2 linked regions of the Coturnix japonica genome follow. The protein of the gene in region 2 interacts with the protein of the main gene of each other region in a biochemical or structural test. Links are inferred from orthologs where the notes say so. Each region holds a gene or a part of one and is shown on either strand. Other genes may lie near its edges.

Region 1 (4,811 bases), on a different chromosome or scaffold from region 2:
TAAAACTGTTAGTTTTTGTATAGCTGAAGTCCTCAGCCCAGTCGTAATTTAAAGCAACATGTCTGGTTGTTATGAGCTGTTAGTGTTACCACTTTCCCAGAGAAGATTTTCCCCTAAAAATTCTTCCGATCCAGTTTAATCTGGAATTACCTTTTCAAAAGATGTTGTGACACTGAGAAAATTTGTGCTGGATGAATTTTGAAGCCCCGGTTTAAAATGACGTGATGGCGTTTTTCATTGACAGAGCATCAAGAAGAAAAACACGAGTAAACAAGAGATGAGCACATACCTGCGGTTCATAGTCTCTCGTATGAAGGAGCGGGTGAGTCTGAAACAGGGACACGTGGCAGAGTGTTGTGTGCTGTAGGGGATGCAATGCAGCTGGTGTGTGTGACTGCGCTGGAAGAAGGCCTACAAGAGGGTGTCTTTTTATTTCCCTTGTCATAAGCAGTTTGTGTATTTCAACATACACTTATCATGTTTCATAGCTAAGGTTAATAGAATTGTGGCAGGAAGAGTTTATACAATGGGCCCATCACTCTTTTGAAACTGATGTTTTTCAGGTTTGAAGTACATTTAATGTGTAAGACTGCTGATCTGCAGCTGGGCCTTGTCTGTTCTCCACCTGAAATATTCCAAGCTGTTGCAATTATTTAATCTTTTGTATATGCTTTAAGCAGATTCTCAATGCAATAACTTGTACTGTCTCATGGTCCTTTCAGGCTATAGATCTAAACAAGAAAGGGAAGGACAACAAACACCCAATGTATAGGAGGCTGGTGCACTCAGCTGTTGATGTTCCTACTATACAGGAGGTAGAGTGATTTCCTTTCTAACTTCCACACTGTTTAGGTGTCTTTTAACACTGAAGATAAACCTTAAGAACTAAAGCACAATCCTGTTTAATTAATGAGTATTTCAGCTTTATGTTGAGCATTGAATATAGGAGCTTAAAATGTCATACTTTTCCTTATAAATAGGTATCCAAGTGAAAATGTCTTGGATGGTGCCTGTTTTTCAGACATTGAGTATTCTCAATTCCTTTCATACTAAGATTTTACTAGGAGCTGCAGGTAGCTGAAATCCTCTTTTAAAAAGTATGCTTTATATAGGTCATTGAATTTATTCTTTAGTGCCTGTGTTTGCATATCTGGCCCAATGTTTTTTACTATATTACATTTTTAACCACTGAGGCATTGTGTAGACATCAACTTGAGAAACATCTGAATGATTCATAAAGAACCCATCATTTTGTGGATCACAGAAAAACAGGACTCACTTAACATCTGTTTTGCATTAATTGTTCCAAGAATAAAGTTCTAGTATGTTCTTTTTTTTTTTTTCTTCAGAAAAGGTCAGATTGTGACTCATGTAAATGAACTACACATGACCAAACTGGATAGCATATCATTTTATTTATGGTTGTAGCTTGATTGCTATAACATGCTAACATATATCATTCTTTACAAAAGTAGATGTAAAAAAAAAACAACAAATTGCTTTATTTTTGTTACTGAAATACATGGATAAACAATAGCCACACTGACAGTTTTAGGGACATGCATAATGGGCTGGATTGAAGTGCCTAAAACTGAAAATAGGTCAGGTTTCCCTTTCACTGTGTCACCTTCGCGCACTTCCTCAGAGGGTCTTTTTGGCCTTGATAACATGCCTGAAATTGAAGACAGTTTATTTGGTGAATTCATAGAAGTTCTTCAAAGAGCATAAAAGAAAAGATGGCATCCTTACTAGAAAAAAGATCTCACTAGGTAAATTAACTGTGTGGCTCCCTGTGGGCTTTTGTTATGAGTTTGGAAGACTAAGGCAGTGACTGCCTCAGAAAACCCTCGCTGTCAAGTGAAAATCCTAGAAGTATAAAAGCAGTCAACATGGGTTTGAAACTGGCATGTATTTTAAGATGTAAAATCTTCACCTCAGGGAATATACCTTTATTTGAACAAGCATTTTGGATCACATCTTACTGCTTTTGTCATAACAAAGAGGGTTTGGTTTTTTTTTCTAACTCAATCTAACATTAAAGCAAGTATTTTACTACTGAGCACTGCATGAAGGAACCGATGAGGCCAGTGTTCAGGTGCTAACAAACCATGTCAAACAGCTGTAAGTATTACTTCTGTATGCTGGAAGGGCAGTGTCTGATCTGTATTGCATAATGTGGATTTCCATGAAGGCTTTTTTTGCATAAAACAGGTAAAGCACTTTGGTAGTTTTTTCACAATCCTGTTTTCTTTTGTATAGAAAGTAAATGAAGGAAAGTACCGGAGTTATGAGGAGTTCAAAGCAGATGCGCAGCTGCTTCTACACAACACAGTGATTTTCTATGGAGGTAAAGTGCTACATTTACTACTTACGTTATTTGGTTTATCTTCATCAATAGGAGGCTCAAAAGTTCAGGACTGGTTTCAGTATTTGATAATCTTACATTTAGATGAAGTTATTTGAAAGCCCTTACAAATCAAAGTAAGCTGTGAGAGGACTTGGTTGACGGCAGGGTCTGCTCTTGCCCACTGGCTACATGCCTATTTTCATCTTCTCTGCTAAGCCTATCAGTGGGAATTTGCAACTTTGCCATCCTGTTTCTTCTGCAAGCAAAGCCACGAGTTAATCTATACTGCAGGTTTCTTCCAGAATATGCGTGTTGCTTTGGAGTAGAAAGAGGTACAGTTTCTGATGTGCTGCGTCAGCAAAATCATTGGCAATATCTGCCATATTGCAACAGCGGATACATCTACATCCCCTTAAAAATACTGGTACCATCAGAAAAGCTGCCAGCCACTGTGAGGGTGTTTAGTGATTATTTAGTAAGGTGTGACAGTATAGATGGTAGGGAGAAACACCACCACCGCTTCTAGAAGTCAGAGCCAGGTCTAGTAACAGGGTTCTCCAGAGCTGTCTTTTCAGGAAGGATGTGGCTTGTGGTTGTCCCACACAGGCAGCTCAGGGGAACTGGGAGAAGGCTGGGACCAGGCCATGCACTGTGTCAGGCAGCCCACACTGTTGCTAGTAAGGAGAGTGCTGAGAGGGAGTGTTAATAGGGATGTATACAAGTGTCAGGGAAAACCCATAATGATAAACAGTTTCTGAAGCATTCTCTAAGCAGAAAACACTTATGAGATGTACCTGTGTTCATTCCAGTGGTGACTGCAGAGAACCATGTTTTAGGGCAATTACTAAGATGATAGCAGAGAAAGAAACTGGATCTGTATTTAGAACAACCATGTCTTGCTGCTGCTGCTCCTCAGATCTGTGTTTGTATTGTTTGGTTTAAAAGCTCCCAACAGTGTTTTTGCGTTATAAACACAATAGAGCAAGCAAATATAGAACTGATCATTAGAAAATTTTAAATGGAAGGGTTATCCAAGTGGCTGAATTACGTTTTGCATTCTAAAGCAAGACAATTACAGCATGAAAGTCATAGCAGCTGCAGATCTTCGTGAGCACAGCGATCGTACTGTGATTGTTCATAGCATTTATTTTTAATTTATAGCGGACAGTGAACAAGCTGACATAGCGAGGATGCTTTACAAAGACACGTGTCATGAAGTAAGTAGCACCAAGTAACCAAGATGTAGATATGCTATTTGCTTTTTGCTTTAGAATCTAAGAGAATGATTCTTCTTGTTATGAAAACTTGAAGTTCTAGCTACTGTTTCAGAATTGCTTTTCCTTTTTTTTTTTTTCTTTCTTTTGCAACTTGACTGTCATTTGGATAAAATGATTAAGTTTTAGTTTGGAAATAATGTAGTAATACATGATTGGACTAGAAATGATTGTACTTGCTTGCATAATTTCGGTCTAAAATGGGATTCCTACCAAGTTCTGTAATTGTCGTTGAAACACTTATCAATATTCATAGGAGACCGGAACATAAAGATGAGTTGGTTGTCACATTTGCTCAGTAGAGTTTTTTCTTTCAGAATGTGCTTTAAATTTTGATGAATTTAAAGAACCGTGCATTTTAGCTTTAATAAATCATTAAGTGTTCAATTAAGCCCTTCCCCCCATGCTTTTTGAAAGTATGAATAATGTTGCTGCATCTTGTATTTCATCTGCTCTTAAGACATCTCATTTTATACCTTGTTGCACCGAAGTAGTGCCACCCATTTAGCGAGCAGGGCTGAAAAACTCTGCCACTTACACTACTGAGCTCATACAAATGGGATTTTTGGAGTTTATTTATATCTGTTTTTGTTTTTCAGCTGGATGAACTGCAGCTTTGCAAGAACTGTTTCTATTTGTCAAATGCACGACCTGACAATTGGTTCTGCTATCCTTGTGTATGTTGCTGACACGTATTTTTGTTTGTTTTTCTGTATTAATCCCTGCAGTTTGGTCTCGTTAATGCATTGAATATTCCATTTCAGTAAGCGTGTTTCAGATGTAAGATTAAACTCTCCTAAGTCTAGATATTTAACACAAGCAAAATGTTGGTTGAAGGCTGTATCAATATGTGTAATAAACTCAATTATCAGATGGTTACAGCACTTTCACAAGAAAATAAGGAGTTTACAGAAATAAAACTTTAGAAAGGGACAAAGATGTGTTTAATTTGGGGGATGCTCAAGATATATGTTTTCAATAAACGGTCTTTTTTTGATGATAATTCAAGCAATAAATCTTACAGAGAAATATTCATTGTAAGAAGATAAAATTGAAAACAAGCATTAGATATAAACAGCAACTGTATTCTTAAGAAACTAGCATAGCACTACAGTAAAATATTTGCGGTAGAAATTAATATCATGCTTCATATCCAGTAATATATACAACATTTTTTTCCAGATACCCAA
Region 2 (4,647 bases):
GCCCTGTTTCTCTAATGCTCCTATGCTGTACCTGATTGTGGTCAGCAGTTAAGCCTATGAATAGGGCACAGTAGATAGATATTTCTCAAAATAGCCTCCTAGACATCAAGCCCTTGTGTCTTGCAGACTTTCCAACCCAGAGGAGGTATCTTGTTTTTTTTGATTTTTAGAATGAGATTCTATTTTTATTTTTAGTGCATATATAAAAGAGCAAAGAGGGCTTTGAAATCAAACTTTGTTATTGGAGGTGACAGGCCAACTATGGGTAGTTGCCAATTGCAATGCTTTATTTTGGCTGCCGTCACAAGAGGAAAACTGGCAGCTGGAAGGGCAGGGAGGCATATCCTGGAGAAGACGAAGAATTTAGCCAGACTTTCAACAACCTCTTTGACTCTGGGTGGCTGAGAAAACAGAGCAGTGTTTTTCTGTGTGCTCTGACAAAATACTCTTTAATGGGTCACATTGAGCTGCAGCTTGTACCAGTGCACTGACCCAACCCAGTGTGGGATACCAGGTTTTGCTTTTGAAGATACACTAGTGGGGGTTGAATGAGACCATCTGTGGCCAGCACTTAGGTGCAACCTAAGCCTGCAGCAGCGGTTGGGGTGAAGGGAGGAAGGATGCAAGAGGTTCCTTATCCTTCACAGGGATCATAAAAGTAAGACTATTGGCAGTTGCCTGTAAATGTATGGAGACTACAGCTACAGTGCAAATGGAGACCTATCCTTTCAGCTCCAGACACTTAAAAAGGTATACTCTTAAAAAGTCCATTTTCTCCAAGTTGTTAACATGCTGCTACACCAGGGTGATAGTACAGAAAGCAAGATCAAGGTACAGCCACATTTTGATAGAAAGATTAAGAAACCTAGGGAAAGTCCCTTTTTAAAAAGCAATTAACGTTGCGTATTCTAATTTCTTAAATGGATGCTTTAAAGCCTATTGATTTTATTTCCCAGTTCTCTGTAACGTGGAGGGATGGCGAAGAACATGAGATCAAGACAGCTACAACAGTAGGCTCACTGTGTGAGACAGCAGCAGGAACAGGCCAAGCACCAGCAGTCTTCACACACCTGCTCTCCCTTATATTTACTCATAGTTACACATTAATATGCAACACAATTCAGAACCGCCAGTTCTCTTTCAAACACCGAGAACAAAGGCATTAGCTTCTAATTTATACCTAAACAGAGAACACTGGCATAGCTTTTAACTTGGTCCAAGGCCATTAGCCTACAAGAGTCTTATAGGTCTTTCTCTAACAATCTCTTCACTGCCCTATTCTTACTATTTCTCCCCATAGAGATGTAGGCTGGAGGAACTCCTCCTCCCCCCACCCTCCCCTTACACTCTGCAATAACCGAGGTAAAAGAAGCACAATACCTTCTTCTCCCTTGTTCAAGAGGTTTTAATAAGGACTCATTTTTCAACCTCTCACACTTTACAACATTTAAATGTACACCAAGCTCAGGTAAAAAATAAAGCTTTCTTACAAAGTACATTTTTTTTTTTCCCAGTGAATTGTTTGACGGTGTTTTTTTTTTTTTCTTTTCCCTTTCTTTTTGTGCAGTAAAAATAGCTGCTACATAAATCCCTCCTGATCTCTGAAAAGGAGGCACAGTTATTCCAAAAATAGAATTCATATCTTAATCATACAGGATAAACTGCAGGAAGAAGAGACAAGTCAACTGAAAAAATAAGGCTCGTATATAAATTTGTTTTGTTTTTTTTTTTTTAAAAGGACATGCATAGAAGTTGAAAAACATATGCCATTTATAAAGGAAAAACAAAAGTTATTCGTATCCATATTAGTATTTTCATTTTCAGTTAAAGAAGAAACCACAAATAGGCCCTTAATGTCCCGGAATATAATATTAGTTTCTTGTAAAAATGCCAAAATGCACAAAGATTTGCCAGCTTCGGTCTTAACAAAACACTGAGCCAGCTTCCCACTGCGCCCACCCCCCCAATGCCATGTCATCAGCATACCACATGCATGCATACTCAGTACTTATGTTGTCTCTGAGGCCAATTAAATATTTGCAGAAGGTTGTATACCCTACACAAACATGAAATAGCCATTCAATAGGTTTACATTCGTCCCATTTAAAAAAAAAAAAAAAAACAACAAAAAAAACCAACAAAACACATACAATTAGTTTAATTTACACTATACAGTATCTGTTAAATAGGAACATTACGGAGCTTCAAAAAGAATCACAGAATATATACAAAACTGAATATTGAAATGGTATGATTTTCCTTCCTTTCTCACGAGGGGTTTTTCCTTTCTTAAAAGAGATGCTACATCTGGTTTAGGACACAGAGCGTTGATGTACCTATGCAGCACATTTCTGGAGTAATAATAATAATAAAAAACATGCTTGAGAACAAAACATTAATATCAATCCTTCTTACTGCTCCTTTCAAATAAATTAGTTTTTCTTAAATAAATTGCATGATAGAAGAGATGGAAGCAAGGATGACGGTGTGTTAAAAAAAGAATCTGAGCAATTGTTCTGCTCCATCACCGGTTTCCTCATCCAACCTTTGGTTTTAAAGCCAACCCATCATTACATGGCAGTGTAAGTAGCCAAAACATTGTATGCGGCAGAATAGGTGGTCAAAATGCTTAACCCTAAAGCATTTCTGTGTCATCCTGACAGAGCTGTGATCTGTATCAACTTCCATGCTGCTCAAGTACCTGACACAGCAACATTTGAAGCCACTGATGAAATAAGGCCACTTCCTTCCAACTTCCCCTGGTTACAAAATCAGTCAAGGTCCTTATTTCATCACAGTTGAACCCATCCGAACAGCCAGAAGAACTGACTGTAGAAGGCTCCTGGTCACAGTCCCAACAAGTGCTCCTCGCTGGTGCAGCACCAGGTGGTCAGGTTCAGTCCTCAGTGTCAGGCTGCACCCCCAGCATAGCATGCAGCTCCTCTGCTGTGTATCCCAGCAAGTTCTGCAGGTCGCACACAAAGCGATAAACATAGCGCTTCCCTGAGGTCTTGTGGATGATGTTCTTGTCATAATAGTAGCGCAGCCCTCGGCTCAGCTTCTCATAGTTCATTTTTGGCTTGTTTTTCCTCCTTCCCCACCTCCGTGCCACCTGCCAGTGCAAACAGAAAAGCAAGTGTAAAGGGTTTGTTTAAGTCACACTTTTCTGGTCAGCAGCTGATAAAGGCAGCTATTAAAACCCCTTTCGATCAAAAGTTTACTTGTTTGGGTGTCCCAAACTTGGAGCCACATCTTGGTGGCTCAAACCCCAAGACAAGCATGAATTGCAGCTCATTGACAGCAAGCAGAACCAAGTGGTGGTAGCAAATGACAGCAAGAATGCTTCCCTACAGACGATGGGCCCAAGTGTCTTTAAGAGGAACAAGCTGAAGTGAAATACAATCACCTCTCTCAAGCAGGACACAATTAAAGGTTTAATTTGCTATCGAGCAGCAAGGGACAGCTTTTTAAATGGAAGCTTAATTCTAGGAAGTTCCTTGCAGTTCATGACTCCCCTTCCCTTCTTGAAATAAAAGGGGATTCAGCAGACTTTAAATCATGTCTCTTAATACAGTAATCTTCCTACTGGTAGCAACAATCAGGAAATGAAAACATGGTCTCCTTATTTTTCATGTCTGAAGCCATAAGTTCCCAGCAAGTTTAAAAAGCAGCACTAACACATTTGCTGTTTACTAGAAGAGCTGTAATACCGCGAGCGCCTTTTCCCTGGGAATTCATGCAATCCCAGACGTTGCTGATTCAACTGTATTCAGTAAGCTAGCCTACAGTATTGCTTAGCCTGTCAAAACATCTAACTTTGTATGCTTTAAGTTTCAAGCTATGCAATGTGTTCTCATTACTATAAGCAAATGCTGATATCCCAAGGGAGGGGGAGCAACCCACAGCAGTCCTGACCACACTGTAAAGTATTTGCAGATGAAGAGACTTCAGCAAGTGTCTGATCTCACAAATGCTTTATAGTCAAGAGGAGGCCCACAGATAGCAGATGAGACCCTCAATCTTTTTGTACAGCTCAATTAAACACATACCTCATCTGGGTCAGCAAGTTTGAATTCCCATCCATCTCCAGTCCAACTAATAAAGGACTGGCAGGACTTGTCAGTGAGCAGCTCCAGCAGGAATTGCCACAGTTGGATGGGTCCACTGCCTGTTAAGAGAGCAGGGGTGGGGAGGAGCCATAATTAATACTTCTGCAAGCTCATATCACAATCAGTATATGCAACCATATTCAGATCACAAGGTCAATCTGGTCATTACTCTGATTTTTGTTGTTGTTTTTAAATAGAAGGGGGGAAAAAAAGCTTTACTGTAAGATTTTTCCTCTACAAGTCTGTTCCTACATAGGTTAAAATTACAATTTTTCATGGAAAGATTGGATCTGATGCAAGCTACGTCTTCCATTGTTTGTAATTAGATTCCTCATCCCTCCCGTCTGCCTCCCTTGGCTTGGCAGACTTTCTAGAGGAAAATCTGATCTCAGCAAGGACTACAAGAATAAGGTCCTAATAGGTAAGCCAACATCTGCAGGAACTCAGAACTGGGCAAGGCTTTGTCCAAGCTTTTCTTTTTTCACAATAATCAGAAAGTGCATTTGATATTTACAGTGTTCTAATGTACCTGTACTTT

Evidence for each region. The genes of interacting proteins can lie anywhere in the genome.
Region 1: the proteins of ETS2 (region 2) and ZMYND11 form a complex in vitro, tested with the Homo sapiens proteins (2 studies listed by BioGRID). The link is inferred for Coturnix japonica from reciprocal best matches to the Homo sapiens genes ETS2 and ZMYND11.

What each region holds. Positions count from the first base shown.
Region 1 is NC_029517.1:8,890,431-8,895,241, forward strand, and holds part of ZMYND11 (zinc finger MYND domain-containing protein 11), read left to right. Parts: intron 1-244; coding exon 245-322; intron 323-722; coding exon 723-815; intron 816-2,259; coding exon 2,260-2,347; intron 2,348-3,508; coding exon 3,509-3,564; intron 3,565-4,220; coding exon 4,221-4,298; intron 4,299-4,803; coding exon 4,804-4,811. UniProt on the Homo sapiens protein: Chromatin reader that specifically recognizes and binds histone H3.3 trimethylated at 'Lys-36' (H3.3K36me3) and regulates RNA polymerase II elongation. Does not bind other histone H3 subtypes (H3.1 or H3.2).
Region 2 is NC_029516.1:97,068,524-97,073,170, reverse strand, and holds the end of ETS2 (protein C-ets-2), read right to left. Parts: intron 4,169-4,647; coding exon 4,050-4,168; intron 3,113-4,049; coding exon 2,897-3,112; 3' UTR 1,390-2,896; downstream 1-1,389. UniProt on the Homo sapiens protein: Transcription factor activating transcription. Binds specifically the DNA GGAA/T core motif (Ets-binding site or EBS) in gene promoters and stimulates transcription.